Drosophila melanogaster: one gene and its partners. The protein of the gene in region 1 purifies or fractionates together with the protein of each later gene. This does not show direct contact. Each region holds a gene or a part of one and is shown in the gene's direction. Other genes may lie near its edges.

Evidence for each region.
Region 2: the proteins of bur (region 1) and Mfap1 purify together in Drosophila melanogaster (affinity purification with mass spectrometry, with the first as the bait; one large-scale study listed by BioGRID). This does not show direct contact.
Region 3: the proteins of bur (region 1) and Mst85C purify together in Drosophila melanogaster (affinity purification with mass spectrometry, with the first as the bait; one large-scale study listed by BioGRID). This does not show direct contact.

Annotation. Positions count from the first base shown.
Region 1 is NT_033779.5:21,171,655-21,184,212, reverse strand, and holds bur (burgundy), read left to right. Parts: upstream 1-4,529; 5' UTR 4,530-4,883; exon of another isoform or gene 4,884-5,803; intron 5,804-6,534; 5' UTR 6,535-6,552; coding exon 6,553-6,642; intron 6,643-6,703; coding exon 6,704-7,008; intron 7,009-7,036; exon of another isoform or gene 7,037-7,173; intron 7,174-7,241; coding exon 7,242-7,542; intron 7,543-7,607; coding exon 7,608-7,704; intron 7,705-7,836; coding exon 7,837-8,206; intron 8,207-8,279; coding exon 8,280-8,472; intron 8,473-8,531; coding exon 8,532-8,933; intron 8,934-8,988; coding exon 8,989-9,180; intron 9,181-9,237; coding exon 9,238-9,339; 3' UTR 9,340-10,031; downstream 10,032-12,558. Other genes in the region: Ret oncogene, read left to right, coding at 1-131, 192-1,040; Mcm10 (minichromosome maintenance 10), read right to left, coding at 1,792-2,960, 3,021-4,182; CG31627 (uncharacterized protein), read right to left, coding at 10,081-10,314, 10,371-10,925; mAcon1 (mitochondrial aconitase 1), read right to left, coding at 11,565-11,753, 11,815-12,318, 12,385-12,558.
Region 2 is NT_037436.4:1,934,415-1,943,372, forward strand, and holds Mfap1 (Microfibril-associated protein 1), read left to right. Parts: upstream 1-6,653; 5' UTR 6,654-6,761; coding exon 6,762-6,840; intron 6,841-6,901; coding exon 6,902-7,823; intron 7,824-7,885; coding exon 7,886-8,321; 3' UTR 8,322-8,458; downstream 8,459-8,958. Other genes in the region: CG5687 (uncharacterized protein), read right to left, coding at 1-319, 386-745, 800-915, 974-1,135, 1,198-1,866; CG46523 (uncharacterized protein), read right to left, coding at 4,084-4,179; mu2 (mutator 2), read right to left, coding at 8,568-8,782, 8,839-8,958. UniProt on the Drosophila melanogaster protein: Required for pre-mRNA splicing.
Region 3 is NT_033777.3:9,041,974-9,052,771, forward strand, and holds Mst85C (Mst85C), read left to right. Parts: upstream 1-6,671; 5' UTR 6,672-6,782; intron 6,783-7,183; exon of another isoform or gene 7,184-7,274; intron 7,275-8,390; coding exon of another isoform or gene 8,391-8,404; exon of another isoform or gene 8,405-8,582; intron 8,583-8,847; exon of another isoform or gene 8,848-8,980; 5' UTR 8,981-8,987; coding exon 8,988-9,154; intron 9,155-9,213; coding exon 9,214-9,775; 3' UTR 9,776-10,258; downstream 10,259-10,798. Other genes in the region: Nmdmc (NAD-dependent methylenetetrahydrofolate dehydrogenase), read right to left, coding at 684-811, 879-1,666, 8,391-8,404; Rel (relish), read right to left, coding at 2,251-4,254, 4,551-5,462.

The DNA of each region.
Region 1 (12,558 bases):
GTGATTTGGCTGCTAGAAATGTGCTCCTTGCGGATGGCAAGATATGCAAAATATCAGATTTCGGACTGACTCGAGATGTTTACGAGGACGATGCCTATTTAAAGAGATCCCGAGATCGTGTGCCCGTCAAGGTAAGACCTCAAAATTAACCCCCTATAACATTAATATTAATCCGGAAACCCCTTTTAAAGTGGATGGCTCCGGAATCTTTAGCGGATCATGTGTATACCAGCAAATCGGATGTGTGGTCCTTTGGCGTTCTCTGCTGGGAACTAATCACTCTGGGAGCCTCTCCGTATCCTGGCATTGCTCCCCAGAATTTGTGGTCCTTGCTGAAGACGGGCTACCGCATGGACAGACCAGAAAACTGTTCGGAGGCTGTCTACTCTATAGTTCGAACTTGCTGGGCAGACGAGCCAAATGGAAGACCCTCATTCAAGTTTTTAGCATCGGAGTTTGAGAAGCTATTGGGAAACAATGCCAAGTACATAGATCTGGAAACGAATGCCGTTTCGAATCCCCTTTATTGTGGGGATGATTCCGCCTTAATAACCACGGAATTGGGCGAACCAGAATCGTTGCAGCACCTTTGGTCACCTCCCAAAATAGCCTACGACATCCATGACCAGGCCACCAGCTACGATCAGTCTGAGGAGGAGATGCCAGTGACTTCAACGGCTCCGCCGGGTTACGACTTACCACGACCTTTGCTTGATGCTACCGCCAACGGGCAGGTTTTGCGATACGAAAACGATTTGCGATTCCCCTTAAATATTCGGAAATCCAGTTGTACTCCAAGCTACAGCAACATGACCAGTGAACCTCCAGCGACCACCTCACTGCCACATTATTCTGTCCCCGTGAAGAGGGGTCGATCCTACCTGGATATGACCAACAAGAGTCTCATCCCAGACAACCTGGACAGCAGGGAGTTTGAAAAGCATCTGTCCAAGACCATCTCGTTCCGTTTCTCTAGTTTGCTGAATCTCAGTGAAACGAAGGAGGTGAGTCCAGGATGGCAAGCTGAGGATGCAGTCTAGAAATAGTGTTTCCCAGAGTTCTAATCTCACGCCTGTTTTTCAGTTCAAACTGTTTGTTGATTAGTCTTAGTTTTACATATAATCAATTAGCTTTACGTTGACGCCAAATATGGATTTTAAGATAACCGATTTCGATTTCAAATACTCCCAAGCATTTATACACTATTTTAACTAGCCAAAGACAGCCTTAGTTTTTTTTATTATTACTTCTTATTACTTTTGCTTCAAAAAGCCATATTCTTAAAAGATAATTAACTTTATTTGTAAATTGCCAAGTTCGTCCTATTATATGCCAGAAGAATGAATGGTTATCCCAAAGAATTTTTACACTCAATAAATAAAGTTTTTAAAGGAATATTTGTGCTTCAAAAGGGGTTTTCTGTATTTGGATATTTATTTCAATTTAAGATTGTAAAACTCTGCTAAAGTAAGCTAGGTTGATTTATAATGTCCATTTAATGTAATAGCAGTCATAATATAAGTTTCAATTTATTTACGCCATAAGCTAAACAATCATAAGTAACCTTCATTATTAATCATTGAGTACATCTGGTACATCTTAAACAATCTCACAGGCACTCTAGATATTTAGGTATTCGAACCAATGTACTTATTTATCGATGACTTTTATGACTTTAATGAATGTAAATACTTGCATCTACTGCATATGTTTAAATTAACTTTTAAAAATTATTTGAAATAATATAAAATAAAATAAACCAAATATAACAGATAGCGGCCAATTGGGGCATCACTCTTCATCGGGTACCAGCAAGTTGAGATTAGCACTGCCTGCTAGGCAGCCCATAAAGGTTTCCTCGTCTCCTCTCACGGATAGAGTTTCTCTACCAGTCAGTATCTTTTTCTCCCGTATCATAGCCGTCCTTTGCCATCGCGACCCCTTGCAATTCTTACAGCTCTGTTTGGGCAACTTGAATACGGTAGTAGTTCGATTTCCGCAGTCTTTGCACTGAAAGAATCGCTTTTCAGCATCGACCACCTTTAAGGGGTGCTTCTGCTCCTTGCAGCGATCGGAAGCGGAAAAGGCTGTGTACTTGCACACCTGGCAGATGACGGCCTTGCATGGCATCTTGTATGTGGTCAGCATCTTCTCTTCCATCGCTTCCTTGCGTTCAAGCTTGTTAAAGTACTCTTCCTGCGCTTCGCGCTCTCGCATTTCCACGAGATTCGTATGCGATGAGGTGGCTGCCATTATTTTTTCGATTCTTGATTTGCGCATTAACTCCCGATCGTCCTCATCAATTTTTTGTCGCTTGGCGCTGCTAGAGAACTTCTCGTTGAGTTCATCGATGGCTCTTCTCTTCCCACTTTCACTGCCTCGTGTGGAGTTGGGGTTGATCTTCTCCAGTGGCTTCTTCTTCAGCAGGGCAGCTGCTTTCAGCTTAGCATTTTGTGCCTGGCGAGATCCTACATTGATTTCAAAGGAAAAGTTCTCGCTACCGGAAAGCTTGGGCGTTAAACTGGCATCAAAGGAGAAGCCTCGATTTTTGAATTTATCTGGAACAGGTGTAGTGGGCATACTGACAGCGGGTGTGCCTGCTTCAGATTCTTTTTTGTTATCACTTCCCAAGACATGGCCCTCCGCCTGCTTCTTTTTTTCAAAGCGCTCATTTTCCTCTTTAAGCAGACGCAACCGCTCTAGATCTTGGACTCTCTGTTTCCTAGACGCTTCCACACCACCAGCCAAACGGGAAACAGGACCGCCACGTTCTGCATATGGAATTTTAGTGGGTTCGGCTGTTTTGGGCTTTGAGGTGTGGTTAGCGGTATGGGCGAAGGGGGAAACATCATAGCCAGCCAGCATACTCAGACGATCACGTTCCTTGGTGATTAACTTGGCACTTTTTCTTGCGGGAACTGCAGTAAATGTTTGGCCGCCGTAAAATACCTCGTTTTTGCCTTAACATAAAGAAAAAACTAAGTTATATTGAGTTTTCTTCAAAATCAAAGTCTACCTACCCAAAACCTTGTTTCTTAGTTCATTGATACCACGACCTGCGGTCGCCGATTGCAGTTCAGAACGTCGGGACATCTTGCCATATTCCTGCTTTACATGAAAAATGCAATAATCACAGTCGGTTAGGTTAACCACCGAAGTGCACTTGTCCCCATTTTTTTTGGTGGCCCGACATGTGCCCAAATCTTTGGATTGACCCAGGATCATGACTTTCTGGGAGCTATCGATGGATAGGCAGGCCACATCGGAGCTTCCCGCTCTCCTCTCGAAAATAGTTGGATTCAACACAGCCAAGCACAGACCCTCCGCTGTTTTCCACAGGGATTTGTGGGCCTCTTTAAAAAGGAAAAGTGAGATCGTTTTAACCTCTCCCCGTAGATCGGATAGTTTCCACGTGGAGTAGGGATCACCCTTCTTGGTGTTTTTTACAGGATTTTTGGAAACCAGCGCGCCAGCAATGACCCAATCTTTGGCCAAATCGCCTCGCTCGATGTGATACGCAACGCCTGAGAAGGGCACAGGTTTCCTGCCCGTCATGCGCTCCTGCAGCAGTGAGCTGGAGACTAGCGGATTGATCATGCGCAGTCCGAAGACTGGATCCGTAAAAACAGCAGATACGGGAGCACTTGACTGGGATGTAGATGCCACGGCGGCAGCGACTGGCGGAGGACGTTGAAACGTGGTGCTCACCGCCGATTGCCGTTTAATAGGATTATGCGGATTTTTCAGGGGTTGCGGGGTGGATGTAACCACGTGGATAGACTTCTTAAGCTCCTGATCCACCTCCCTCGCCACCTTGGACTCGTAGGCGTTCTCCTGCTGCTGCTTCAGTCTCTTGTTTATATCACTGCCGTACTCATTGTACTTTCGTTCCAGGAAGTTCTTTACCTCCTCGTCGTCGGACGAGTCCAGCTCTGGTTCCTTAATGATAGCAGCATTCTTCTGCTTTTCCGGTTTCACGATCTTCTCGAAGGTGAAGGCATTAGCAAAACTGTTGTCTTCTCGTAGTTTTGGCACCAAAATGGGTGCGGTGGGTTTTGCTTTTTCTGACTCTGCAGATTTTGTATTTTCGTTTTCTGCTGCACCCAGTAGTTTTTCCAGAGCCAGTATTTCCTCCTCATCATCGATACTAATATCTGTTCCGGATTTCTGAGCAGGACCCATTTCATTTGGGTAGATTTGTATTTTCACGTGTTCTCGTGTTTTTTCTTGGTTTTCTAAATAAGCGCAATAACATATCTGTTTTGGCGGGCTCAGTGTGACCGGGTAATGTATATGGTTCTACAAAAAGTGCTCGTTTGTCAACACTGTACAAACAGATTATAATTTTAATTATAATTCATTATTTAAAAGAATACTTAAGCACTCCTAATAAAGAAGTAATGTAATGTTATTAAGGAATTTTCATTGTTTTCGAAATAAATATAAATTTATTTATTTGGTAAATATTAATACCAAAAACGTTCACAGCTGGTATTTTTCGTTTGCAGCACAGCTGGATTTTTCCCAAATCCGAAATATGGTCATCCGCTCGTCAATAAGTCATCTTTCGGCTTTAATTCGCGAAAAAACTGCAGGAAATCCAAAAGGAAAGTCCCTGGAAGCGGCCATAATAACGCAGCCGTGAAAATCACAGGGATTTCATCGCCAGCTGTGTCGAGCAGCCCTGGATACGCGGAAAAGAAGCTGCAGCAGCCGAAGAAATTTTGAGTGTGTGCGTGAGGAAGGAAAACGGGGGACCGCAAACAACGGATCGCGAATTTCGTCTTAAGACAAAGTCTTGCGCTGCTTGTCACGGTATTCCACGGCCTTGCCGACGGACTTCCCGGTTCTGGAAAACCGCAGCCAGGCTAAAACGAGAGAAGGTGAGAGTCGCAATATGGCGAAAAAGATCCCCGATCCCAGCCAAATCGCCATGCGGTGCTGCTCCGCCCACAATTCCGCACCCCGCCCGTTGAATTCGCAAATTAGCTTCAACCGCATTTGCCTTTGCTTTTGTTGCGATTTTTTGTTCTCCGCATTTGCAATTTTTTAAATGTTTTGCAAATATATCCCGTGGCCATTTTGTGGTTATAAGCGCCGCTTGTTGGCGGCTCCACGTGTGTAAGTGTGCGTGCCTTCTGCATGTGTATTAAATTACAACCACGCGGCCGCCCTCTTTAGTTGTTGTTGCTGTGGTTTGTGCCGTTTCTGATAACCTCTTGCATGTTGTTATCAAAAATGAGAGAGAGCCAAAGGAGGAGCACGGCTTACATCACAGACATCGCATCGCTTCAGTGACCTAATGCACTCCTAACCTTCGGAGAGGCTTTTCATATTGCTGCTGCTGCGTTTTTACACACTTCAAGAGAAAATAAATGGCAAACAAGAAGACTTGCTACCGTCGATTTGTCTCCTGGATTGTTGTTGTTTATTTTTGTTTTCTATTTTACTTGTGCACTTTTCAGCTCTGTTTTCGTTTACCTGCCATTTTTCTCCGCTCATCTTTCGCTCTCTCTCGCTTCCGCTGCCACTCTCCTCTTAGTATTTTCGCCTGTCATCTGGCGGTCAGTAGCCGGCGCCCTCCCCCCTGACCCCATCACCATTACGTTCCGTTTCCTCCTCACATCCTCATCCTCATGCATCGAAATTTGTATTTTAAAATATATGTACTAAGTCGCCGATTACTTCGGGAATTCGAAAAGCATGTTCCTGACCTGCTGTTTTTCTAAATTCTTTGATGGGACAAATGTGTCTATAAAATTAAATGTTAACTTCCATGCTTTGATAATCTACTTTAGTATGTAGAAGTATATAGCATTGACAGATACTCCTGGCACAAAAATTCGTTTTTCATGTTGTTAATCCAAATTCAGTCTGTTGACCAAAATTATACAAAAATTATATCTATTTAATATTATTTTAAAAAACCAAACTATGATCATTTGGAGCACTTTTTCCTATGGTATCTATGATTTTATGCTGGCTGTGAATACACTCTGTCTTAAATTCTAACCACGGTTAAATAAACAGGTATTATTAAGATTAAGTTATAGGCTTATTCATATACGTAAATGTTTTATATTTGGTCAAATAAATAATACCCACAGAACGTAATCGTCGCGATGCACAGCGAATCATTTTTGGTAGGCGTCTCTCGGCCTTGTTTTTCGTCGCTTGTAAATTTCTTTCCACATTGCACAAATCATCTTTCTGTGACAAGAAAATATTTGCCAATGTTTATTGTCTATCGTAGAGCGTCCTGGCCAGCTGCATGTTGAATGTTTCTGCGAGTGCTCCACAAGATATTGCCGGTATGTGAGCCTTCTGTACCACAAATCTCAATCTCCGCGATTGCCCCAATCCGAAACCTATTTTCCCCACCTCCTAGCCAGCTTTTAGCCTTGTTTCTGTAGCGTCGATTGCAGCCACAATTGGAGTATAAATAAGCAGCAGAAGCGCGTTTACCAGCCAGTCGAGATTCGGTGTTTGTTTCTGCGATTGCTTGACTGACACTCAAATCTTTGCTCTTTTCAGTGCTGCAACGATAAAGAAATGAACTCAAACATTTTTCTGGGCACAGCAGAGAATGGCCTGCGGCATGATAAGATTGTTATACTTGATGCGGGAGCACAGTACGGCAAGGTAAGCTTAAAACCAAGAGTAGTTTTAACCTCTTCTTAAAATGGTCCTGGTTTCTCCGCAGGTTATCGACCGTAAGGTACGCGAACTCTTCGTTGAGACGGATATCCTTCCTCTGGATACGCCAGCTGCCACGATACGCAACAATGGCTATCGAGGCATCATCATCTCCGGCGGACCCAACTCAGTCTACGCTGAGGATGCGCCCAGCTATGATCCCGATCTGTTCAAGCTAAAAATACCTATGCTGGGCATCTGCTACGGCATGCAGCTAATCAACAAAGAGTTCGGGGGCACAGTGCTCAAGAAGGATGTTCGAGAGGATGGCCAACAAAATATCGAGATCGAGACCTCGTGCCCGCTCTTTAGGTGAGCCAGGAAATATTGATTCCCAAAACAAGCAGCAACAAGAAAGTGCTTAGGCTTAAATGCGTTTACCTAAGCGCTGATACAATGCTGCCAGAACAATTTTAAAGCCAAGAACAGTTTAGTTTAGAGTAGTTTATAAACTGATCTACACGTGGCCTAACATATTATCTATCATTACCATTAATTATTCTAATACATGCAATTAACAAACATAACATCTTCGTTTCCCGCAGTCGCCTCAGTCGCACACAGTCCGTGCTGTTAACCCACGGAGATAGCGTTGAGAGGGTAGGCGAGAATCTGAAGATTGGTGGCTGGTCTACAAACCGCATTGTGACAGCCATTTACAATGAAGTACTACGCATCTACGGCGTACAGTTCCATCCTGAGGTGGACCTCACTATCAATGGCAAACAGATGCTATCGAACTTCCTGTACGAAATCTGCGAACTGACACCTAACTTTACCATGGGTAGTCGAAAGGAGGAGTGCATACGCTATATCCGTGAGAAAGTGGGCAACAATAAGGTGTTGGTGAGTTTGGGAAAATAAATTTTCAATCAAGACATGAATATCTCAATACAATCTACATTTTACAGCTCCTGGTCAGCGGCGGCGTGGATTCGAGTGTCTGTGCAGCTTTGCTCCGCCGTGCTTTGTACCCTCATCAGATAATTGCCGTGCATGTAGATAATGGTATGACAGTAGACAGATTAGCGAAATTTATTCATTTATATTTTTTCTACGTCAAATAATTCATTAACTCGGTGAATACCGAATTTATATCATTTGTACTTTAAAACCTAATATTTTATCCCTTACTTCAAGGTTTCATGCGCAAGAAGGAAAGTGAAAAGGTGGAGCGTTCACTGCGCGATATTGGCATTGATTTAATCGTCCGAAAAGAAGGCTACACGTTCCTTAAAGGCACCACGCAGGTCAAGAGGCCCGGACAGTACTCCGTGGTGGAAACGCCGATGTTATGTCAGACATACAATCCGGAGGAAAAACGCAAGATAATTGGTGATATATTCGTCAAGGTGACCAATGATGTAGTAGCCGAATTGAAACTAAAGCCCGAAGAAGTTATGTTGGCCCAGGGAACCCTCCGACCAGATCTGATCGAGTCCGCCTCTAGCATGGTGAGCACGAATGCAGAAACAATCAAAACGCACCACAATGACACGGATCTGATCAGGTAAAAAAGCAAAAGTCTAAATTCCTAACCAAATTTTAGTGATCAGCTTATTTTTTGTAATTCATTTCTTCAGAGAGCTTCGTAACGCAGGACGTGTGGTTGAGCCCCTTTGCGACTTTCATAAGGATGAAGTGCGCGACCTTGGCAATGATCTTGGCCTGCCTCAAGAGCTTGTGGAGAGGCAACCCTTTCCGGGTCCTGGCCTGGCAATCCGCGTCCTTTGCGCTGAGGAGGCATACATGGAAAAGGACTACTCAGAAACTCAGGCATGTTAACAATTAATTGCTGTCAAAGTTATTATAATAAATATACTATTTAATTGTAGGTTATTATCCGCGTGATTGTAGACTACAAGAATAAACTGCAGAAGAACCATGCTTTGATCAACCGCGTAACGGCGGCCACGAGCGAGGCGGAACAGAAAGACCTTATGCGTATCTCATCGAACTCGCAGATCCAGGCAACTTTGCTGCCCATCCGATCAGTGGGCGTGCAAGGTGATAAACGGTCATATAGCTACGTAGTAGGCCTATCCACGAGCCAGGAGCCCAACTGGCAGGATCTTCTCTTCCTCGCCAAAATCATACCGCGAATTCTGCACAACGTGAACAGGGTGTGCTATATCTTCGGCGAACCCGTACAGTATCTAGTGACGGATATTACGCACACCACACTGAATACTGTAGTTCTTTCGCAGCTGAGGCAAGCCGATGATATTGCCAATGAAGTAAGTGGATTTGTCATAGAAATAAATAAAATGTATTATATCATAACCGTTTTAGATCATAATGCAAGCTGGACTATACCGGAAGATCTCGCAGATGCCTGTTGTTCTCATACCCGTGCACTTTGACCGCGATCCCATTAACCGCACACCCTCGTGCAGAAGGTCGGTAGTGCTGCGTCCGTTCATAACGAACGACTTTATGACTGGTGTGCCGGCTGAGCCCGGATCCGTGCAAATGCCTTTGCAAGTGAGTCAGTTTTCAATCTTTCTGAAAAATGTATATTTAATCTTTTCCTGCTCAAAGGTCCTAAATCAAATTGTACGCGATATATCCAAGCTGGATGGAATCTCGAGGGTGCTGTACGACTTGACAGCCAAGCCGCCGGGCACCACCGAATGGGAATGATGCGTTCAAACCAAAATTTTTAACAGCCATTTCATAAAAATAGATGAGAGAAAAAATAATCAACCAACCAATAAGCGGCGGGCTCTCGATAATAGGACAATGGCCAATCAATGGACGGTCAGGAAGGATAAAGATCCAACGGCGGACGGATCGACCCTTGCCTTCGAGCACTTCACAGCTGCTCCTGCCTTTTAGAGAGACACGTTAAACGAGCAATTCATGAGGCGCAAATACAGAACTGCAACTGCCGCTTCGAAATTTAAAAACAATTCAGGTTCTTTATATCGATGATGCACGTATGTGTATCAAGATCTAAAACAGATGGTAAACTATTTGCCAATAACACTTATGTACATTTTCATGTTTTGTTCCTTTTGATAAAAGGAATGTGCCCACAAACCACGTAACAAACAAAAAAAAATTAATTTACGCATTTTTAGTTATATACATATAATATATATAATATACATAATAAATAATTGCAAAATCACAAGTTTCGAAAATTGTATATTTGCTAGAGAGAGAAGTGTTTTCATGGCAAAAGGCATAAACGATTCTAAGAATACAAAACAAAAATATTGTAAGCTAAAATTATGAATTGTTATATAAAACGTCAATATTTAAAAAATGGCAAAACCAGAAAAACAAAACGATTATGATACAAGAAATGTAATAAAGCGAAAAATCGATTCAAATGTGTTTGCATTGCATTTTTTTATTTTGAGATATTCAAATCAAGGCCTATGGTCTAATCTTTGTTTTTGTCAAGTAATAGGGACCGCCACTAGTAATTTTTTGAATTTTTTGAAAAGCGTCGCGGGAGAGAACAAACTTGCTATTTTGGAGATTCCTCAACTTCTCAAGCGAAGCCATCTTTTCTCTAATGGGCGTACGTTTACGTTTTTCCTGAACATGTCGCAGGTTTCTAGACGGATTCTTTTCGAGAGTAGGTCCCGAAGGCTTAAGATGCATTGGCTGAGTAAAAAGTAGAATAAATACTAAAGTGATTTGTTCGTTAACTATAAACATACAATCTCTCGAGGGGGTTTTCCCCCTTCTCGGTCAAACATGTGATTTAGAAACAGCAGATTATCTGAATAAAATAGTTTTGGCTGCGGCGATTCACCCGAAAACTTTGCACCCTGCTCTTGTATGCGCTCCATCTCAACTTTATAGCGAAGCTTGTGAATCATATGTTTCCAAAACCCAGATGGCGAGTCCGCTTTCATTTCATCGGCAATCGCATCCCAGATTCTGTCTTTGAGCTCGAAATTGAAGAAATCTTTGTTGCGCTGATTCCACAAGCATTTGTGATCTTCATACAATGCGATTAACTTTAATTTAGCCTTGGCGGTCTTCATGAACTCCGGGCTAGGTGAGAAGGTGATGGGGGTCTTTCGCAAAGAAGTGGCGTCTGTATAAGTGTAGGAGCCTGTGCTGGAGTCAAAGGACGTTGTACTCTGTTCCTGACGCTTAAGTTTTGCAGCCAGTAGGGCTCGTCTTCTTCCCAACGATGGCTTGTCGGAGAGTGAAAAGAAATCCGTGCTGGAAGCAACGGAAGTTTTACTTTGAGCTCTGCGTTTCATAGTCCTAGAATTGGATTTACTAATAATTTATATTTGATTGACAATTCGACATATTTTCCAAAAGCTATGGGTGAATAATTAAGTAATCTGCCCCAGTAGATTCTATTATTGATATTATGCTTTATTGTGCAAATTGTTGTGTCTTACGTCTTATAATTGATAAAATTATGTTAATAATGAAGAAAATATAGAGGACACGGGATGAATTGACGGCACTTATTGTCCGCTTTTTTGTTTTAACTGTTGTTTATTAAATGAAAGAATCGGTTTAATACATATTACTTGAGTTTTATTCGCACTTAAAACAGTTTCATAGTAGAGGCAATCTGTAGAGCATTTGGACAAATTCAAAAAGAACAAAAATTGAAGGAAACGCATGCATAGCCAGAATTAAAAATAAAATTGTGTATAATTATATATATAAAACTCTTACAATTTCTCGCTATCGTTCGGCTACATAATTCACTTTTAAAGCTGCACACTCGATATAGTCAAAATATAATATAAACAATTTGAAAAGAATTGAATAACAATACCATAATTCGATTGCTTCCGTTGTGAATTTGAGTGTGTTCACCTACAGGAAGAAGGTTGGGATCAGGCTTCTTGACTGGGTGTCTTAAGTAGGTCCAGGACCATTTACTGGGCCAGCTCCTTCATGCGGTTGAGAGCGCTGCCGGCCTTGAACCAGCCGATCTGTAGGTCGTTCAGGGTGTGGTTAAGCTTGATCCTCTCGACCTTGTCGCCATTCTTGATTTCGGCATCTACGGGCTTTCCAGGCGCAAGGGATTTCAGGTTGAGCAGGGAGATTTTGCTCGTGGGCTGGATCTGTTGAAGTACAAAGATATGGTTAATATGACCTTAGTCACAGAAGCTAAGAGTCGCAAACCTTATCGTAATCAGCGGGATTGGCGAAGGTGAGAGGCAGAAGACCCTGTTTCTTCAGGTTGGTCTCGTGGATACGGGCGAAGGACTTGACGATAATGGCACGACCACCAAGGTGACGGGGCTCCAAAGCGGCATGCTCGCGGGACGAACCCTCGCCGTAGTTCTCATCGCCGACGGCCACCCACTTGATGCCGTTGGCCTTGTAGTCGCGGGCTACGTCGGGAACTCCTCCCCAGCTACCGTTGCGTTGGTTCTTGATGTTGTTCATCTCGTTGTTTTCGTAGTTGGTGGCTCCGATAAACATGTTGTTGGAGATGTTGTCCAAATGGCCACGGTACTTCAGCCAGGGTCCGGCAGCGGAGATGTGGTCAGTGGTGCACTTTCCCTTAACCTTGATCAGCACAGTCAGATCGGTCAGATCCTGGCCGTTCCACTTGTCAAAAGGCTCCAGCAGCTGCAGACGCGTCGACTTGGGGTCGACAGCCACCTTGACATTTTCGCCGCTCTGTGGGATTTCCATATTGATTCTTAAGAACAATATAAATCAGTTTGGGAATTTAAATGTACTTACGGGTGGGGGAGCAGTGTAGGTGTCCTGGCCGGGATCGAAACCCTTGGCGGGCAGCTCGTCGCCGAAGGGAGCCTTGAGCTTGAACTTCTTGCCATCAGCACCAGTAAGCTCGTCGGTCAGCGGGTTGAAGTCCAGACGACCGGCGATGGACAGAGCGGTGACCAACTCGGGACT
Region 2 (8,958 bases), on another chromosome or scaffold:
CACAAATATGACCAGGGCCAGGGACAAGAGTCCTCCGTAGAAGGCGCCCTTGGTATTGGCCTGTTTGCAGGCGATTCCCAGCACGAAGAGACCGAGGGTGACACCACCAATCAGTCCATTGAGGGTAAGCGTGGCCTGCAGAACTCCTCCCAGGTGCTCCACGATGAAGACCAAGCCGAAGGAGGCAATGCCAAAGCCCAGGGACATCCACTTGGCATAGGTGGCTCCCTTCTCCGGAGAGATTTTGATGTTCATGCCATTGACCAGCAGATCTTCGCAGGTCACAGCGGACAGGGAGTTCAAGGCAGAGGCCACGGTGCTGTTTTTGAGAAGGAAAAACTTTGAATAAGACTTCCATAAGCTGTTCTGGAGTTTAAGAGCTCACCCCAAACTGGCAGCAAAGATGCCAGCCACAAAGATTCCCGCCACGGAGCTAATATGCTCGTAGGTATTAATCACGTAGTAGGGCAACAACTGATCCGTGGCTGAAATGCGTCCAGCAGTCAAGGGATCGCAGTCCGCATAGTGGGTGAAGACCATCAGACCCGTGTAGAAGTTCAGCAGGAAGACCACAATTAAGCCGATAATGGCAAAGCCCAGAGCAATCTTGGCTAGCCTCAAGGACTTCAAGGACATGCATTTCTGAACGGACGCCTGGTTGGTGCAGAACAGCGAGGTCCAGTAGAAAAAGCCACCAATGACCACCGACCAGACGGTGTGACGTGTTGTGGGATCGGGATCCATGCTGCAGAATTAACCAGAATTGTTAAGGTCCTTGGATTCATTTGGCTTAACTCACTTGAAGAACTCCAAGCGATTGTGATCGGAAGCAGTCTGAAAGACCTGGATGGGATTGCCACTGTAGAAGCAGCCCAAGCCCACGATCAGTACCAAGGATACAGCCAGGACAGCAGCCTAAAAGGATTTAGATATATCTTCTCGTATTGATGAGTTCCACCATCTCGTTACTCACCTGGAAGGAGTCGGCAATGACTACAGCCTTCATGCCTCCCTGTGAGGAGTAGAAAACGCAGACCACATAGATCAGGACCACGGCGATTTTGGTGTCCAGTCCCGTGGCCTTAGACAGAGCAATTGCCGGTGCCAGGACTGCCACAGCCGTGTAGAAGCACATCTGAAGGAGAAGGAGTCTATATATAAATCTCATTCATTTTCGAGTTAAATCCCAGAACCCACCTGAATGACATAGAGCACTGCACCCAGAATCCTGATCTCCTTGCCAAACCGAATGCCCAGATACTCATAGCAGCTGGTGAGCTCCATTTTAAAGTAAATGGGATAGAAGATCTTCACAGCAACCGGAATGACAATCACCATGGGTATTACGATGAGCACAAACTGGGTGCCCTGGAAGTACATCTCGGATGGATTTCCCAGCAGTTCGATGGCCGTGATGAAGCTGGTCGTGAGACTGAGTGTCACCGGGAAGATGCTCATCTCGGAGCCCAGCAGGAACTCGTTGGACGAGCTGCCGCCCTTCTGGAAGAAGCCATAGAAGATGCCGATGCCCAGCGAGATGACCAGCATGCCCAGCAGAATCACGTAGTCGTAGCCCGAGAAGGTGGCCTTGTGACTGGGCGCACTGCATTCCTCCAGCTCCGCGGATGCGGGAATCTGTTGATTCTTGAAGGCTCTCAGGAGCAGGGTGGCGGCATTATCGAACTCCACATGCTCCTGGGATTCACTGGGCGACTCACCGCGCACTATCAAGTACTTGTGGCTGGAATCCAAGGGAGCAGATCCTCCTGGAGTCGGAGACCGTTCCTGCAGGGCCAATGCGGTTATAGAATGTGCCAGGGCGCACAGGGTCAGCAACTTCAGAATGGTGTCCTGGGTGGCGAACATCCTGGATCACGAGCAAGGACTAAGGATGGGGATCGAAGGATGGCGATTTCCGGGAGATCACTTTCTCCAGCCGACTTTCCACCCGGCGACGTGTGCGCAAACTGAAACGAGATCGGATCGGAAGCGATTTAGACTTGGATCACTGGCAAGATCAAGGTTCGCAAAGAGGAATTGCAACGAGGCGGCATTACAAAGCACCATCGCACCGTGGGTGTCACACTTGGTGTCATCTTGGGGCCCATTAATTAATTAACCAAACGATCTGGATCTGCGGCTCTGGATCCGGAGGAGGGGAGGCCATCGACCATTGGCCAGCGTCTCATGTTCAAGTACAAATACATTATTTCCTTATACAAACAATTCCATTTGAGCGTAATTGCTTTATGATTAATATGTTTTCTTCATGGGGCGGCAGTCAAGGCAACGCTCTTCTTTTTTTTTTTTTTTGGGTGATATTTCTTTTTCGGATTGTGGATTTCGGATTCCCAGATCCAGAGTTATGGCTCTTTTGGGGTTACAAGTGGACGGGCGATGAGCAAGAAGGCCCAGCAGAAAGCTGCCTCAAACTGGTCGTTGATTTATTCAAACTGGTTATTTCTGGCCAAAAGAAATCGCACGGCTTGCAAGTGGTAAGGAATTTGTTAAGATATTTGATTTTATTTCACGCCAATTCTAGGATGTATTTCATTGCATAATGCTACTCGATGTGTAACAAACTTTTTTAATATATTTCAATTTCCTTGCTGATTTATGCAATTACTTGTCGTTTTAATTGTCAAGTATTTGAATTCATTACACAAGCCTTATCTTTTGAGTAACTTAAATTTATTACACATGCCTCCTCCGTCTCCTCTTAATTGTTAAATCATAAAACACACATTCTGCAACTGATCAACGATGGCAATCACTTCCCCCATTCAATTGATCCCCAACACTCGACAATTATTCTTGATGAGACCAGAAGCCATGGCGCCTCCTCACTCCTCCTGGCGCCTCTACTGCCCCCGCCCACTTTTCCGGCCAATCAAACCATTTGAGAAAAGCTGCTCCTGTGCGACATGGACATGTATGCACCATATGGCCTGAATGGCGAATAGATTGGGCTACAATGTTTGAGCGAAAATGGGGAGTGCGAGCGCGCCAATCGAGATTTAAGCGAATTCAACTGGTTTAGATCGGTGGCCATTGGACTGAGCCGGATTGCGCCGGTTTGGGCCAGAAATTCGCCATCGCTCGGCGAATCTTCGAAGAGCAGCTTCCAAGTCTCCGAAGGCAAGGCCGGAAACTAAGAGCAAAAGGCCCGACCACAAGAGAGATGTCCAGATGCACAGAGAGAAAATACCAGTAAGGAATGGTCTAGGCTCCTTCTAGTTTCTAGCTCATCGTAGAATATTTTATTCAAGTTTACAAACTTCTGATTTGAGTAATCTAAACTACGAAATCATATTTATTGCTCATTTGTTTGTTGGCTATTTGTGTTTGGGGTGAAACCCGTTTTCCTTGGTGGAGGAACACACGGGTCAAATGAATTGTGGGCTCTGGTTGAGGACAGGCGTCTGGCTTAATTGGTGGACTTTCGCCCAGCCCATTCCAAAGGCCCTTCGCTTCCATTAAATGGCATCATCATCGTCTTCGAGCCCAATTAATATGCGTGTTTTGTTTTGCTTTCCTCGGCTTTTTTTTTATCTCGTCTGGGCGAACTCGCTTCTATTCTATTATAATTAATTTAAACAAAATAGTCCGCTTGACAAGTTGGCAGAAGATACCAATCGCAAGCAAGGAGATTTTCCACGGCCACGACAGCTGCAAACATTACCTAGTTCAAAACTGGCGAGATTAGCCAGCTAAAAAACAGAGTGAAGTAACACAAGCGACAAAATATTAAAATGCCTTCGGAATGGGTATAAATACTTTCAGCTTTATTAGCTTGTTCGACAAATGCATTTTACAAATTGTTTTTGCCCTCGCAACTTTTTACTCTAGTTTTAGTTAGTCATGAGTAATTGGAATAAATTTCCTTTGGGCTAATGCTTTTTACTATTCTGATGTTCTGAGATATTTTGCAACTACCAATTATCAGTGACAATCGGTATGATAAATTTCGAAATAACTCACTGGCATGCATTGCCGCTTTCACTGAAAAACTGAACAACTTCTCACCTTGGTTAGTAATTTTTCAATTCGTCAAATTCGATATCCTTCGGTTGTCGTCTTCGTTTAGCTCTCAAATGGAATTAGGTTTGCTGCACTGTATCTTAGAAATGTTCTGAACTGGATTTGCAATATTGTGCCACGATTGTTTCTGTATTTCATTAACGTGTTTTCTTAGTTAGTCACAAAATGAAACTGATCACTGTTTGGATTTGGTTCCTCGAGCCGAGTCCTTGCCGTAGTTTTTTTTTCACTTCGAGCACTAGTTGTTTCCCTTTTTTCCCAGCTCGTCGTCGATCGCTGTTCGAACGTATTGACAATTTTTAAATGAATGAGTTTTGCAAGCGGCCGTTACGCTATTTTATACAACACCCAAGGCGGCGCAGGCAAATCACAGATCTCGGATCTCAGGCCTCGGATCTCAGATCTCGGGCTCCCAGCTTCAGCTTCGGGAACCCCACCACATCGAGATCTCTTTGGGGTCTGAAAAGCGAAGAAGAGAGAAAATCGATCTAAGAGCAGGCGAAGCGTCGCCGGATATGATATCGCCGATCTCCACGGAGAGGGAAACTCGATCGCCAGCCAATGGTCGTGTGGAGTGCTAAGATATAGGCAACTTATTTTCAACAGACTCTGGGCACTAAGCCTATTTTAAAAAATAAAACCAAAGACATTATGGTTCATACTATAAATGAAACAGATATTAAATATTAAATGTTTATTAATGTAATATTATATAACTTTAAATTAAAAGGTTAGTAGATTGAGAAAATGATAGGAAACTTATAATCAGGTAGGTATGTAGGTATTAAGTAAATGTATATAAAAATATGATGGGTATAAGTAAAATAAGCTTGAGGAAACGTTTAATTGAAAATCGTGTATAAATGTTTGCCAAACCGTTTCCTAAATTGCTATCAATTAATTTCAGGGAATTGAAACGCTCTGATTCATATGCGAAGATTCATTTTCAATTCTGCAGAAGACGCTCCACGAATGGCCGGAAAATATCCGGTATTTTCCAACTCCTTTGCATATCCCTCGATGGCGATTGTTAATTGTGGCAAGTTGAGCCAAGTGAAATGCGCTGTAAACAAACATAAAAGTTTAATTGCTGGTTCTTGGCCAGTTTGGGATTGCGTGATGTGTAAATATTTCCATTTGTCTCACCCTTTATTACTTTTTAAGTAACTCGAGTCACAAAGGCAAAAAGTGCGCCAATTAATAATGGAAACGATTATATCTTTCGTTTTTTGTACACTTGTCGCCTCGCCTCAATTGCTGGCTATGTGGTGTTTTACTTGGATAACGATAACGAGTTCGATCTGGTACGATTTTGATCAGGAATGACACTCTTTCTCCCGCTAATAGAAAATTATTTGTTTACAATTCCTGTGCGCCAGTGTGGGTGTTTAATTCTAATTGAAATGTATTCCCAGTTTGAATTTAAATTTGAACTGAAACGGCGCCGGTCAGTTCAAAAAGAGTTCAAATCGCAATAAATTGATAAATGTAAAATGTATGTACATATCTAGTATGTAGTGGCAAAAAGAAAGGGGGTCTCCAAATATTCAGCAGGTACTTCCCCCCAAGCGGAAAGTCACCAAATCGACGCCCATTTTTCTAAAGGTCAGTGAGTTAGCTAGGCAGATATGCACTTAAGCATGAAGCGTGTTGCATTAATTAAATATGCCCGCCATGTCGTTAACTAACAGTCTCATGTAAATCTTGGCCATTCAACTACCTCAGCCGACGAAAAGCAGTTAAAAGCAGTTCGGCAAATGCGTCTCGGTGTTTAGGCCCGAAACGATCCCATCCCATGCCATTCCAATTCCATTCCATTCCAAATCCCCATCCCCATCCATATCCAAAGCAAATCCAGCTAACTCTGTTCCTCGGATGCAAGTGGCCGAAGACGTCACAAAACTGGTCGAGCCCCTCGTCCGCCAAGTGGTTCTTTCGGACTTTGGTCCGGTTGGGTGGGTATCAAATCACATCACATCAGATCCGAACGGTTTTTCAAACATTACAAGACAATCTTCACACGTGCTGGCTGCGTGCTGTCGAAACTGAAAATACGCAATACCAATAAAAAGAATTTTGGATTCGATTCCGGCATTACACAAGATCAAGCACCCCTCCTCCGTCCTCCCTCTATCCATCGTATGGGAATTGGAGAAAGCGTAGTAGTCAATTAATTTACTAATGAGAGTGGGCGTTGACATTGCTAAAACACTTGTTTATAAAAACAGCACAGAAAAGAACATTTTCCTTTTCACCAAGGAACCCAATATATATGTTTAAATTTTTTGCAATCCAAAAAAGCTTAAATGAAAATGAATTTCTTACTTTCAATAGTTTTTTCCAATATATAGTTGTCTAACAATAAATTGCTCCATTTCTTTCTGTGTATTAATATTTTCAATTATCGAATGTCTCAATTAGTTGCTGGCCTTAATTCTGGCTTTGCGAAGTCATCGCACTTCCGTCATTGCAATTCAATATTCACCATATATATGTAGTAAAACTTTCTTAATATTTCAAATTGCGGGCCTTGTTCGATAGCGTTGCCACTCTGGTTTTGCTGAGCTGCATAGGCATCGATAATATTTGTAAGCAAAGTATCGATTATTTTCAGATACTTTTGTCCATCTCTAATTTACCATACTTTTATTTAGGAAATATTTACAAGGAATAAATACAAAGATTTGCTTATTACCCGTGGATTATAAGTTAAAACCACGATGAGTGCAGCCACCGCCGCCGCCGCCGCTTCTGGGATCCAGAGCACAGCGGGCGCCATTCCCATGCGCAATGAGAAAGGTAAACAGCGAAGCTCGATCCTCACCAGAAATTGTTTATAAGCTGCATATCTCTTCAATAGGTGAATTGTCCATGCAAAAGGTGAAGGTGCAGCGATACATATCCGGTAAGCGACCCGACTACGCCCGTGCGGACTCCAGTTCGGAGGAGAGCGACGACGATGACTTCATTGACACCAGGAAGCGCCTTGAGCGCCACAAGGCGGAACGGCATAAGCTGGAGCTCTCCCGTCAAGGCGGCAGCGCGGAGGGCGAAGAGCGGGCGGCGGGTGAGGGCCAGGAGGAGGACGATGCCGAGGTGGACGATCCACGCCTCCGAAGATTGCGGCAGCGACCCGTAGACATGGAGGACATGGAACGTGAGCGGAGGGAACGCCACCGACACATCCACGAACCGGAAATCATGGAGAGTGACAGCGAAGACGAGGAGGAAGACGAGGGAGCACAGGGAGCGATTCAGCGGGGCACCAATAAGATCACACTGGCATCCGAATCCGACACGGATGCGGAGCTCAGCGACACAGAGCTGGAGAACCGGCGCACCAAGCTGAGATCCCGCATGCTGCAGCAGCAGCGCGAGGAGGAGGTTCTACAGAAAGAGGATGAGAAACAGTCGGAATCGTCCGAATCAGAAAGCTCCGAGTACGAGGAGGAGACCGAAAGCGAGGAGGACAACGAACCCCGCCTGAAGCCGCTCTTCGTCCGAAAGAGAGATCGTGCCACCATCCAGGAGAAGGAGCGAGAGGCTCAGAAGCAGAAGCAGCTGGAGGCGGAGGCCAAGCGGGCAGCCAAGGAGCGCAGAAGAGCCACCCTGCGAATGGTCGAGGAGAGCGTCAAGAAAGATCTGGAGAAGACCAAGCCGGAGACCAATGAGGCCTGCATCGAGGACGTGTGCACGGACGACGAAAACGACGAGGTGGAATACGAGGCCTGGAAGCTGCGTGAACTCAAGCGAATGAAGCGGGATCGCGAGGAACGTGATAAGTAAGTGAACATCAAACTGCTCTTAGAATTCCTTTTTAACAATTCTTTCCCTTTTCTTTCAGCGTCGAACGCGAGAAGCTGGACATTGATCGCATGCGCAACATGACCGAAGAGGAGCGACGCCAGGAGCTGCGCCAGAACCCCAAGGTGGTCACCAACAAGGCCACCAAGGGCAAGTACAAGTTCCTGCAGAAGTACTATCATCGTGGTGCCTTCTACCTGGATGAGGAGAACGACGTCCTCAAGCGCGACTTCGCCCAGGCCACGCTGGAGGATCACTTCGATAAGACCATTCTGCCCAAGGTGATGCAGGTGAAGAACTTCGGCCGCTGCGGCCGCACCAAGTACACTCATTTAGTGGACCAGGACACCACCAAGTTCGACTCGCCCTGGTACGCCGAGTCATCCAGCAACATCAAGTTCCACAACGAACACGCCGGCGGCATGAGGCAGCAGTTTGACAAGCCCACCGGCTCGAAGCGAAAAAAGATGGAGTAGTGTTAGACGTATGTAATTGATGTATTTGACAGGCATTAGGAAAGTAACAAGTAAATATTGTGCGGCCACAGTTATGATGGAACCAAAACTTCATATACAAACAATTATATATAATACAAATATCATAAGTTTAAGGTATGAACGAGATTTCGTCTGGGACTTCGATGTGTGATGTACAATTTTGGAATAATGGCTAACGAATGATAACAAAAAGCGGAGAACACACAAAAAAAAAAACTATAACGTTTAAAGTTTGAGCGTGTGCTCCTGTAGCATTTCAATGTTGTGTTGAACGAGCGCCTGCATAACAGCCTCGGTTTTGATGAAGTGCACCTTTTCATAGTTGTTCAGACGTCGCTTAGATTTCGTATCCTTGCTGGTGGTGACCACGTACAGATCCACGCTGATGGCCAGCGAAGGCGGTTGGGCATGAACCTTGCCGCCGGCGCTGTGAATGATGACTGTGGGAGATTACCGATTAGCCACTAGTTGGAATAAGATTTCTAGTTAGGCTTGCCTTTCATTTCGTTGGCCTTTGGCACTATGTCTTTGCCGAGCATAAAGTGCAAGCCATACAGCAAGCGAGGGTGTTCCAGTACGGAGGAGGGTTTGAACTTGTAGGTCTCCTCGAACGTTG
Region 3 (10,798 bases), on another chromosome or scaffold:
CACGACACCTGCTGTTTTCAATCCCACTCCCAAGTAGTTACCATTATTATAGACAGGCTGTACTACATTATGCAACAAACGACGCAAATAGTATGTTACAGTGTGCGCCCAACTTCCGTAGGAAAGACACCAAGCCGAATCTGGGGCATTTGGCCAGTTCCAGTGCGAGTTTCCGATTAGAGCCCGACCAGGATTATCTCGCTTTTGGCAACAGCATTATAAGTCGCAGGCCTGCGATCGTGCAAATAGGCCCAAATACGCAGTTAGTAGTTAAGATAAAGTTTTTCGTTCAAATTGTACAATGTAAACTACAAAACACAAACATCTGAGAGCAAGTATCCTTTGTATTTTTAGTGATAATAAACAGTTAAAAGCCATTCTGTTTCGGTTATTCAAACAGAAGGTAACATAATTGGAATTTATTTGGCTGTCATCAAGTATATTTTCTCAATTATTTAACCTTTTCAAAGATCATATATTGGAACTTTTTCATACCTCCCATCGTTAAAGTCATAAATCAAACGAAATAGTAGTATTTCATTATTTCTGTTTATATAGCAAAATATGTGGGTTTATGTCATGTTAGCTTGTGGTCAGTAACTTTACTATCTAATATAGGTTTAGGGGATTAAATAAAAATACTATTTCTCGGCCAGCGAAGCACGATAGTTACTGGTGAATCTTCAGGAGGACTTGCGATCATCGAACTGCTTCCTGGCTGCCTTCAGCGTGTTGTGCATCAGCATGGCCACCGTCATGGGACCAACTCCGCCGGGCACAGGAGTGATGTGGCCGGCGACCTGGCGAACTTCTGCAAAGTGATGAGGAAATGAATCAATCTTGTTGGTCTTTAGTGATTTAATAGATCAGCCACACACCTTCAAAGTCCACGTCTCCGACCAGCTTAAACTGGCCAGTGCTCTCATCCTTGATGCGGTTGATGCCCACGTCGATGACACAGGCTCCGGGCTTAACCATGTCCTTGGTGATCAAACCCGGCTTTCCCACTGCGACCACAATGATATCCGCTTGGCGGCAATGGCGAGCCAGTTCCTTGGGCGGTGTATACCTGTGGCAGATGGTCACCGTGGCATCCATTGCCTTGGTGGCATACTTGCCATCCGCGTGCAGCAAGATTGCCATCGGTAGACTGACATTCTTGGAGCGTCCCACCACAACGGCGTTACGACCGAGAGTTTCGATTTTCATATGCTCCAACAGTCGCTTGACTCCCAGCGGCGTGGCCGGAATATTGGCCTCCATGTCCAGAGCCGTGCGTCCGATGTTGACCTCATTGAAGCCATCCACATCCTTGTCCACATCGACGGCATTGCAGATGGTGCGCTCATTGATGTGCTCGGGTACCGGCAGCTGCACCAGTATCCCCGTGACCTGGGGATCCTTGTTCAGATCGGCAATCAGTTGCAGCAGCTCCTCCTGCGTGGTAGAGGCGGGCAATCTCTTGGTCTCACTGGAGATGCCCACCTCCCGGCAGGCGACCATCTTGTTAGCCACATACTTCTCGCTAGCCGGATCCTCGCCCACAATGACGGCCGTGAGATGGGGCTTCGGATAGCCAGCAGCCTCCATTCCCTTGAGCTCGTGTGCTAGTTGGGTGCGCACCTCCTGGGCTATGGCCTTGCCATCGATAATTTGAGCCATGTTGCTGGAATGCGATCATAATATTATTTAATTGAATGAGATTACACTGTACTATTCCTTAAAACATTATTTAGTTGCGATATTCTTGAAAAAATATAGCAGGAAAGGTCATAAACCGGGAATGATAAGGGCTGTCGGTAAATCCCCGCCTGTCACTGCAGTTACGCAACAGTAATTCCCCCACAACACACACTTAGGCGCATAAGTACATGTATGATTCACCCACTTGTTTACCAAGCGGCGTGCGCGAGCGGCAATGAAAAATTAGTGATTCCCCATTCTTAGAATGTACTTTTTAATGCCGAGCTATCGATGGATCCCCTTTTGCTAGTGATCTCATGCAGGGCGCCGATGGTAATTGTTTGAGGGAACAAGTTTAGATTGCTTATAGAACTATTCTAAAGAATAGATTCCATGGAATAATAAAGGAAACTAAATAAATGCTAATAAAGGAAAATAAATTAATGCTCTGATATTTAAAAATAAAGCTTGCTATCCCAGGCATCCTAGTTTCGCGTATTTTTCATTCCACAAGAGAATAGTATTTGTAAAACTAAGGTACTTTATTGATCAACATTCAATACATAATCAAGTTGGGTTAACCAGTAGGGCGTAAGCCTGTGGATCCACTGCCTGCAGGGCACGAGCAAATGTGGAAAACTCTACAGAGGCTCCTTTTCTTTTCACGTGATCCAACAGATCCTCCGCGCCCAGCCATATAAAGGCGAACTGCTTCAGATGCGTCTGGCGGGCTAGTTGCATCCATTTCCGATCTTGGGGATCGGACCCATGTCCCAAAGGCTGATTCAGCAGCGAACAGAGCCGGTCGTAAATGAATTTGTTTTTGAGCAGCAACTGCAATTTGTTGTTGTCCATTTCGGTGTCTCTACTGGATTCATCTTTCTGTCTTCTTGGACCACTACTTAGGTCCAACTCCACGGAATCCTCGTCCTTTGTTTCGATGTCCATCTCCTCGGACTTGATCTCCAGCTGACCAGCATCGCTACTTTCGTCCGACGATGAATCGATCTCCTCCTTGACCTTACATGGAATCCAGGTCATGGCCAGTTCTCCCTTCTCCGGATACACATTCTTCAGCAGCTGGACCACCCGGTCATTTGCCTTGCGTTCGGCCAATTCCAAGGGAGTATGGCCGGCTGCATTTTGTGCCTGCAGGATGTCGGTAAGGTTTTCATTTTGGGCATCCAGAATGAGCACCAATAGCTCCACACTTTGCTCCAGAACTGCCATGTGGAGTGCATTATTACCATCCATTGTGTTGGCCACGCTAATCGAGGTCCGATCATAGCTGATCAGTTTCTTGGCCACATCGTACTTGTTCTGTCGAATGGCCATGTGCAAAGGCGTCAGACCATCGTCGTTCGTTAGCGAGAGGTCCAATTGTACGGTTGGCACTCCATTAAGGAAGCTTTCCACGCAGCTTAAGTGCTCCTCCTTGACGGCCACATGCAGTGGGGTATTTCCGGCATTATTCTTCAGATTTGGATTGCATCCCATACCCAGCAAAGGTCGTATGTAGTGCGCTCGGTCTTGCTGGCACGCCACATGCAGGGCACTATCACCGTCCGCATTCAAAGTGCTATTGACCACATCTTTCAGATTGAAGTAGTTCATCACCTGTATCGTCTGGATGGCCAGCTTCAGTTTGTCCTTTTTGTGGCTGATCACTTCGTGCAGGAGCGTGTCTCTATTGTAGTTATTCAGAGCATGCTCGATAAACCACTTCTCCACTTTGTGGTGCGAGATTTTTATTGGCGATATGCGGTCCTGTTTGTAAATTTCGAATAAGTCATCCAAGCATTTAATTGTACGATTTCGATGCGATGGCACTTCCGCCCGGTTATGACCATCGTGCTGCAACTCTCCCATGTCTAACTGGCAGATCTTCTCGAGATCAGAAGAGTTGTGCTCGATAAGTTTGCGGAAATCTTCGGAAGCAATAAATTCATTTAGATGCTTTTCGCGTCCGAACTCCTCACTTATAGTCTGATCATGCTGTGAAAGGTTTGGCAAGCCATTTGGTGGCTGCGCCAAGCCCAGCGTTTTGGGCAGATCCAGCGAGTTATTAGAGCTTTCTGTTCCCGAACTGCTGCTATTGGCAGAGGACCCGGTTCGTCGGCGTTTCCTCGACACAATTACGCTCCGTGGCTTGTAGCGGAAGGGCAGCGCCGGGAATGAGCGCTCATCGTCGGAGGGACGAATGAGCTCGATGTACACGTTGACCTCGCGGTCCACGTCCTTATCTTTGTACGGAGGCGTCTGGCACACAATGGCATATTGGTGGTGTACATCCGATTCGCGGAACTTTGCGTATGCCTCCCACACGGTTTCCCCGTCCTCATCCTCCTCGAAGAACCTCACTTTAATGTTCTTCTTGCTGACCTTTTCCACCAGTAGAATAAGCTCATCGTTGCCCATCACCCCGCCAGTGGGTTTGCTCAGGCGGACGATGCGAAGCTCTCCAGTTTGTGCCGACTTGCGGTTATTGATTGCATTGCTGTATACAGGCGGTGCAAGTGGAACCCATGCGCCGTTGTCCTCAATTTTAAAGGCCTCAAAGCAGAGCCGCACCTAAAGTTGGTGTTACTTTTTTAGTGAGTTCTTTGTTGCTTTTCAGTAAGTTAATTGCTTCGATGTTATATTGCTCAGTTATTTTAGCAGAGAAATTTATATAATTCGAGCTAAACGAGTAGATACTTTACAGACTGCTTAAATAAAAAGATTAAAAGGTAGCAAATGCAACCTATAATTAATTGACTAAAGCATTCTAAAGTGAGCAATTAAACGTGTGAATAATAAATGCAAACGTGCATATTCACCTCATCGAAGCAAGCAACTCGATATTGTTTACGCGCTGGTTTACCCACCTGGTTCAAGTTCATGTCCTTGGCCTCACGCTCTGTCTCCTGATGCAGTTCCTGTAGCTGTTTGTGGGACAACTCGCGGCGGTTCATCTGAAAGACCAGGCGATCCTGCTTCTTCTTGCACAGTTCCTCGAATATGTACTTCTTGGCGGTGTGTATGATGCCCATGTTGATAAATTGCGCCACATAGCCGCGCTCCTTGGACACGTGCAAATCATGCGGATCGCACACATCCCGATCGTCCTTGCGCACGACCAGCTGATGGGAATGTGGGCTGTCCAAGTTAGTTTGGAACAAACTGCACCGGATGACGGCGGGTCCATCGTAGTTGCACAGTGTAACCTCCGGGAAGGTTTTGGGCGTCCGCTTCGAATTGGCGCCATTTAGCGATCCATGTGTTCCATGCATCTCGCTCTTGTACCGAAAGCGGAACTTCTCCACCGGTTGCTCAACGATCCGCAGCTGCGGCACGTGTTTGATATCGCCGTCAGATGCCAGGCCATTTTGATGGTATCCAAAGTTTTGGGACGGTGGCACAGTGGCCGGAGCGGGCACAAAGTACTGGTGATCCATGTACATGTTGCCAAAACTGGTGACATTAGCAACGCCGAAACTAACGCCAGTGGAGTTTATTAAATTGGTAGCACCCAATTGGCAAATTCCGCCGTTGTTCAACAGCTGATTCTGGTATGGTGAGTTTGCCATTGGCGGCTGGTGTGGTGAATTGCCGCCGGGCAAATTAAGATTGGCGAAGTCCGTTTGCAGTTCCATGGTTTTCGGGGAGTGGGCTGGTGAAAAGGATCGGTTGGTGGAGTTGGGTGATGTACTGCTGCTATAGCCACTGGTGCTGGATGCATCGTTCATAAACATCACATTTTTCCCATTGTCCAGGTCGTAGTACTGATTCATGTTCATAGTCCGTATCAATCCAATATTTCTGATCAATAGCGTCTTAACAACTCAAAAGTGATCCGCTGCCTTCGCCGATCGGAACGCTAATGATCGAAACGAGCTCCGCCGATGGCTGACCATTCGTTTTAGGTACTTCCCCGATGTTCGGCGGATGGGAAATTATCTGCGGCGGCCACGTCGAGATGACTCACGGGTTTTTCTGGCGCACCACTCAGTGTGATTTTTTTGATCGGCTATACTATAAGCATGTACGGAATTCTGGATTCGCGGTTGTTGTTTACAGAGCGAAATCACACTGTTTATATGTATTCCACCCAACTAATACATATATGCAAATTTATGGAAAAACGACGCAGCGAATCGGGGAACTTTAGTGCGCCACTGCTGGAACGAAAATGAACGAAGCACTGCGCGAACACAAGTAGTATCGCTCACGAGTTGCGAGCAAAACGCTCGCTGCCCTGATAACAGGTTTAAGCTATTTGCGCCGAGCTTTCGGGTCAGCTTTTCACGGAAACTACGGTTCAAATTCATTTATTTGAATACCTGATTTCAACACACCGCGCACACTAAAATAAAAACAAGGCAGAGCTGCCACCGGCAGATAAAACGAGTTGGGTGGCAACGCCCCAATCAGATGTTCTACAAATCTAGGGATGGAAGCGTACGCGATTGTTTGTTCCCATTATTCTTGATTAATTTTTATAAATATAATTTAACCTATTTCGACAAAAAGATATAAAGGTATATAATACAAAATATTAATATAAATAATACAACACTTATATAAATATAAAGATATAAGGAATTTTAATACAAATTTATAATGAGAACCGGCGTAACAACTTATAACTGTGTTATAAAATAATAATAATTATGCAATGCAAGTACCGAATATTAGTATTATTAATAATATATTTTTACGCTTTCCATTGGCTTTTCCCTTAATTCACTTTCGTCACGCACTCATCTCTAGCGCACGCTTTGTTTTTCTTCGTATGATATTACGTTTTATTTCGGACCCGATTCACTTTCTTATGAGCATACACACCTGAAGTTAGACTTTCCGGCGTAATTCCGGGAAGCCAAGACCGAAATGGATCCTATAGAACGTCGCAACATGGTTGGAAAATTTAAAACACCGGAATGTTCTTTTATCCTAAGACACTTGTGCTAAATGATAAAAAAAAACTACATAAGCATGCGCCACTGAACTAATTTGCAATTCAGTCGGTTTCCACTCCCACTGGACCCGCGCACACACACACGCACACTCACGCAGAAACAGCTGATCTGTTGCCAGGCTGCACTTAGAGTATATATGTATGTATTTACGATCCCTTTGCACTTTTTGATGTGTTAATCAATCTTCTCACTTCGCCGTTCCTCTCTTACTCTTGTTACCATGCCAAGGTGTGTGGGTGTGTGTGTGTAAATGCTTTTACACCTTATCAGTTGACGATGAGTTTGTTTATATTGATAATCAATTAGCAGGAAAAACATAAACAAATCGGGGTCTTGACTTTGCAACCACTAGTCTGCGTCTAGACTAGAGTTATTAATAGGCAGGCTACAAAATTAGCTCTTTATGCGGACAAAGGAAAATTCGTTTTCTTGGCTTGATAAAAGCAAACGTGTCTTAAGAACGCCTATTCAAATTTCTTTGAAGGTCAATTATGTATTTTTTATGGATTTTTGTTAGCCAATTTTCACTAGCAGCATACCTTATTGTGACTTCTTTTGTTGGCTTTTGCGAAATTTTCCTGGTGGAAAATTCGAACTGCACTGATTGTCGGATACCGATGGACTGTATAGAACGAAACAGATCACTGAATGAGCCTCGCACGTGTTTGTATATTTTGGATAAAAGCTTTTCGGTTCAGCGCACTAAATATGCGTGTGCGAGCGAGCGCGACTTAAAAGCTTTAAACACTTGTCGATAAAAGTTTTGAACTGTGTGCATATAAATATGGCTTAAAACGGAACAAATACATATGTGCATATATGGATTTTCGATTTTGAAACAACGCGGAAAATAGCTAAACACATATTGAACATATTTTATTTTCTCAACATGAAAATTTTTAAAAGTTCGCCTTGTGTGCACAAATATTTATTTAGGAAATTCTTAAAGACGTGGAGAACAACTTTTGTTGCTTTTATTACCAGTTACATGATTACGATTTTGGTTGGGAATATTTGCTGTTCTAAAATTTCCGACACGAGTTATTTTTCAATAGTTTGTTTTTCTTCGACGCGGCGGATGACGAAATCTGATTTCCGATTACTGCACTCGGAGATTAAGTTGGATTCTGTTGGCCGGTGACGTCAATTTGCTCCACAGGGGGCCACCAACGTCTCCCACTGATAAGCCTTTGAGTTCAGCCCCCTCTGATCACCCATTACCTATTCCATAAGTTATGGAATTGATGCACAAACGCCTGGTAACTGGCGATTTTTGTTTTTAGCCAGAGGAAAAACAATGCAGGCGTCATTAACAATGTTGTTCGCGGACGATGATTGCTCCCGTTTTGGGTTGAAAAACATGTTATTTTCGAACGGAGATAACCCCCGTGGAAAGTGCGAGTGGGCTGCCCAATGGGAGTCATGCTTTAACAAGCTTGTTTAATTTACAACTGGAATATTTCGACGAGCATTTTACTTTCTCTGGTCGTTACAAATTTGTGTCCCAAGGATGCGTGATAGAAAATTATTGTGAATTTATTGTCAAAATTGTTTTAAGCTATAGAACTATTTTCGAAGTTTTCAGAAAGAAAATGTTTTGTCCTTTATTTTTCATTGTAACTCATGTTTTCAAAACAATAATTAAGAACTAAAAATGCTTGTAGGAGAAGCACATGGCATAATTAATATATAGCTATATTCGATGAATAATGGAGATGTAACAAAGTACGGATTTCAAAAACTCACCTTGTGAATCGCATTTTGAATCGAGTTCTTTTAATAACTGAAAACGTTTGATCTGTTGAATAATATCTGATGTCCTATTAGAGTTTATTGCACTAATATACTTTTAAGCTCGTTAAATATTGCAACACTTTTTGTTTAAAGTATTCTATAAAAGAACTTGGTTTCACACTTGTCGCTTTGGAATATTTAAAAGAAGCGCGTTGCAGCCCTTTTTATGGCTCTTAAAACGGGTATTTTTTAGTACCTTTCTAGTTCGAAATTTCGAAATTGGCCTTAGATTAAAATATTTCAGGGGTAGACAAATTGCAGATTTCTCAATAACCAAGAATAAAACGAAGATAATGCTGCGCACGTACAATTTTATCTGTATGAATAATCTGATACTGTTGTAAATTCAACGCTTAACGTTTGAGTGTGTCTTAGCAGTGCAAGTGTGATGCATCTTTTTTGGTTTATTTATGCCAACGCCATCTGGCCACACTGCAGTGAAAAGGAAAACAAGAAGTCGCAAATCCAATCTCCATTGCAATTTTGAACACCATTCCTTTGCATAACTATTGCCCACGCAACTGCATCTCTGATGCCCACAGACTGGCGATGAAGCCCCAGAGCAAGCGGAAATCATTCCCATTCAATGCGCCTCCTCCGGGCGGTATCATGGACTTCGGATTCGGGAGCTGCAGCACCTTCGGCAATTCGGTGGAGAATGATCTGGTAAAATGGCAGCATAAGCGAAAATCCGAGCAGCCGGCACCGGCAGTGCTGTAAGCTATATCCTCAACACAACATCCACATAAAATACTAACCACAGAACTCATTGCAGACCACCCAAAATGCTTATAACCGAGGAGAGGATCACCCAGCATTTCAGCGGTCTATCGCTGGATCCGAAGATCAATGTCGCCGCCACGGCCGTTGTTAGCAACAACAACAGCGTGGCCAGCGTTACGGGCGGACTGGCCACGGATGATATACCATCCACCAGCACCGGGAAGACCCACCACCCCAATCCCGCCTATCAAATGGCGGCCATGGAACTGGAGCAGAAACTGCGCAATGCCAATCGCATCGTAATTTGTGATGGCCTTAAGCCAGGATCGGGTCCCGGTTCCGCTCCACCTGTAATACCACCGGAGTGGCTAATCAAGTCCATACCACGTCCCTGCACCGCCTTGGTCCCTTGGCAGCCTTCGCCACTGCAGATGCCGATGCCGATGCCGGAAGTCAAGATGGTGTCGCCCCAAATAGTGGCACCCATGGCTGCGGCACCGGCGGTCCAGGAGCTGGATGACTACGATGACGATCTGGAGTTCTTCGAGAACAACAACACGTGCAGCGTGAATCTTAACAAGTCTGAGCAGGAGCACATGGACGAAGACCTGTAGCGATAGCCATATAAAACCCTAAACCATAAGCATTAAAGTGTAGATTTGTATGTCCGTAACCGTAAGAACCCAGTTGATAGCATGCAAGAATACTCCGCCTCCTTATTTTTTTATTACTATTGAAAATAGATAGATGTATGTGATTCAATCTGGAATGTTCCGGAATATTCGTTATTTGAAGCAAGTGAGTCGAGAACAGATAACTTTCGAGAGACGCAACGGCGGACGTCAAACGAACACCTGACTTAAGAAAAGTTTTTCTAAGATGAACTAATTCATTTTACTTTTTACATCAATTTATAAGCACTTTTTACAGTATATGAGTTTCTGCAGTAAAGTGGATCGAACGAGCTGAATCTACCATATTGTTTAAAATATACTTTACATTGCGTTTTTGGAATCGACCTTTCTTTGCTGGCTACTAAAATTAGAAAGATACGTATTTTTTGCAATTGATAAAGAATAAAGAATAAAACTGTAAGCAAAACTTTGTATGATCTTATATATATAACAAATAACGCAAAATGTTAAATAGACATAAAATTATGAATGCTTAAGTCCGATATTGTAAGAACCTCTTTGCATTTATAACATTTATATATTTTTTAATTTTGCCGAGCTAGTTTTCCGTTAAATTAACTGGTTGATTGTTTAAATGACTGTTTAAAATGATTTAATATTGAACTTTGGTATTTGGTATTTTTGGACAGGGCGGTCCCACTGAAACATTGGTGTTGGCCAACTGCCGTCATATTGAAAAAACCAGCAGAGAGGTCGGATCGCAGCGCTGCTGGATTTTTCAGCGATTCGCGTACGGAAAAAATCGAGTACGTCCGAGTGCGGATTGCCCAGAAATCCGTTTAAATAAGTGTTTATTTGGTAATTATTATTTAAAATACACACTTGTATAAGAGTGTGTGCGTTTTTGGTGCTGTGAAAAGTTTAGTGAACGGCCCCCACATTGACAGCGTATGAATTATAATTATAATTTACTTCATGGCGCAAGCGAAAAGATTGTAATTC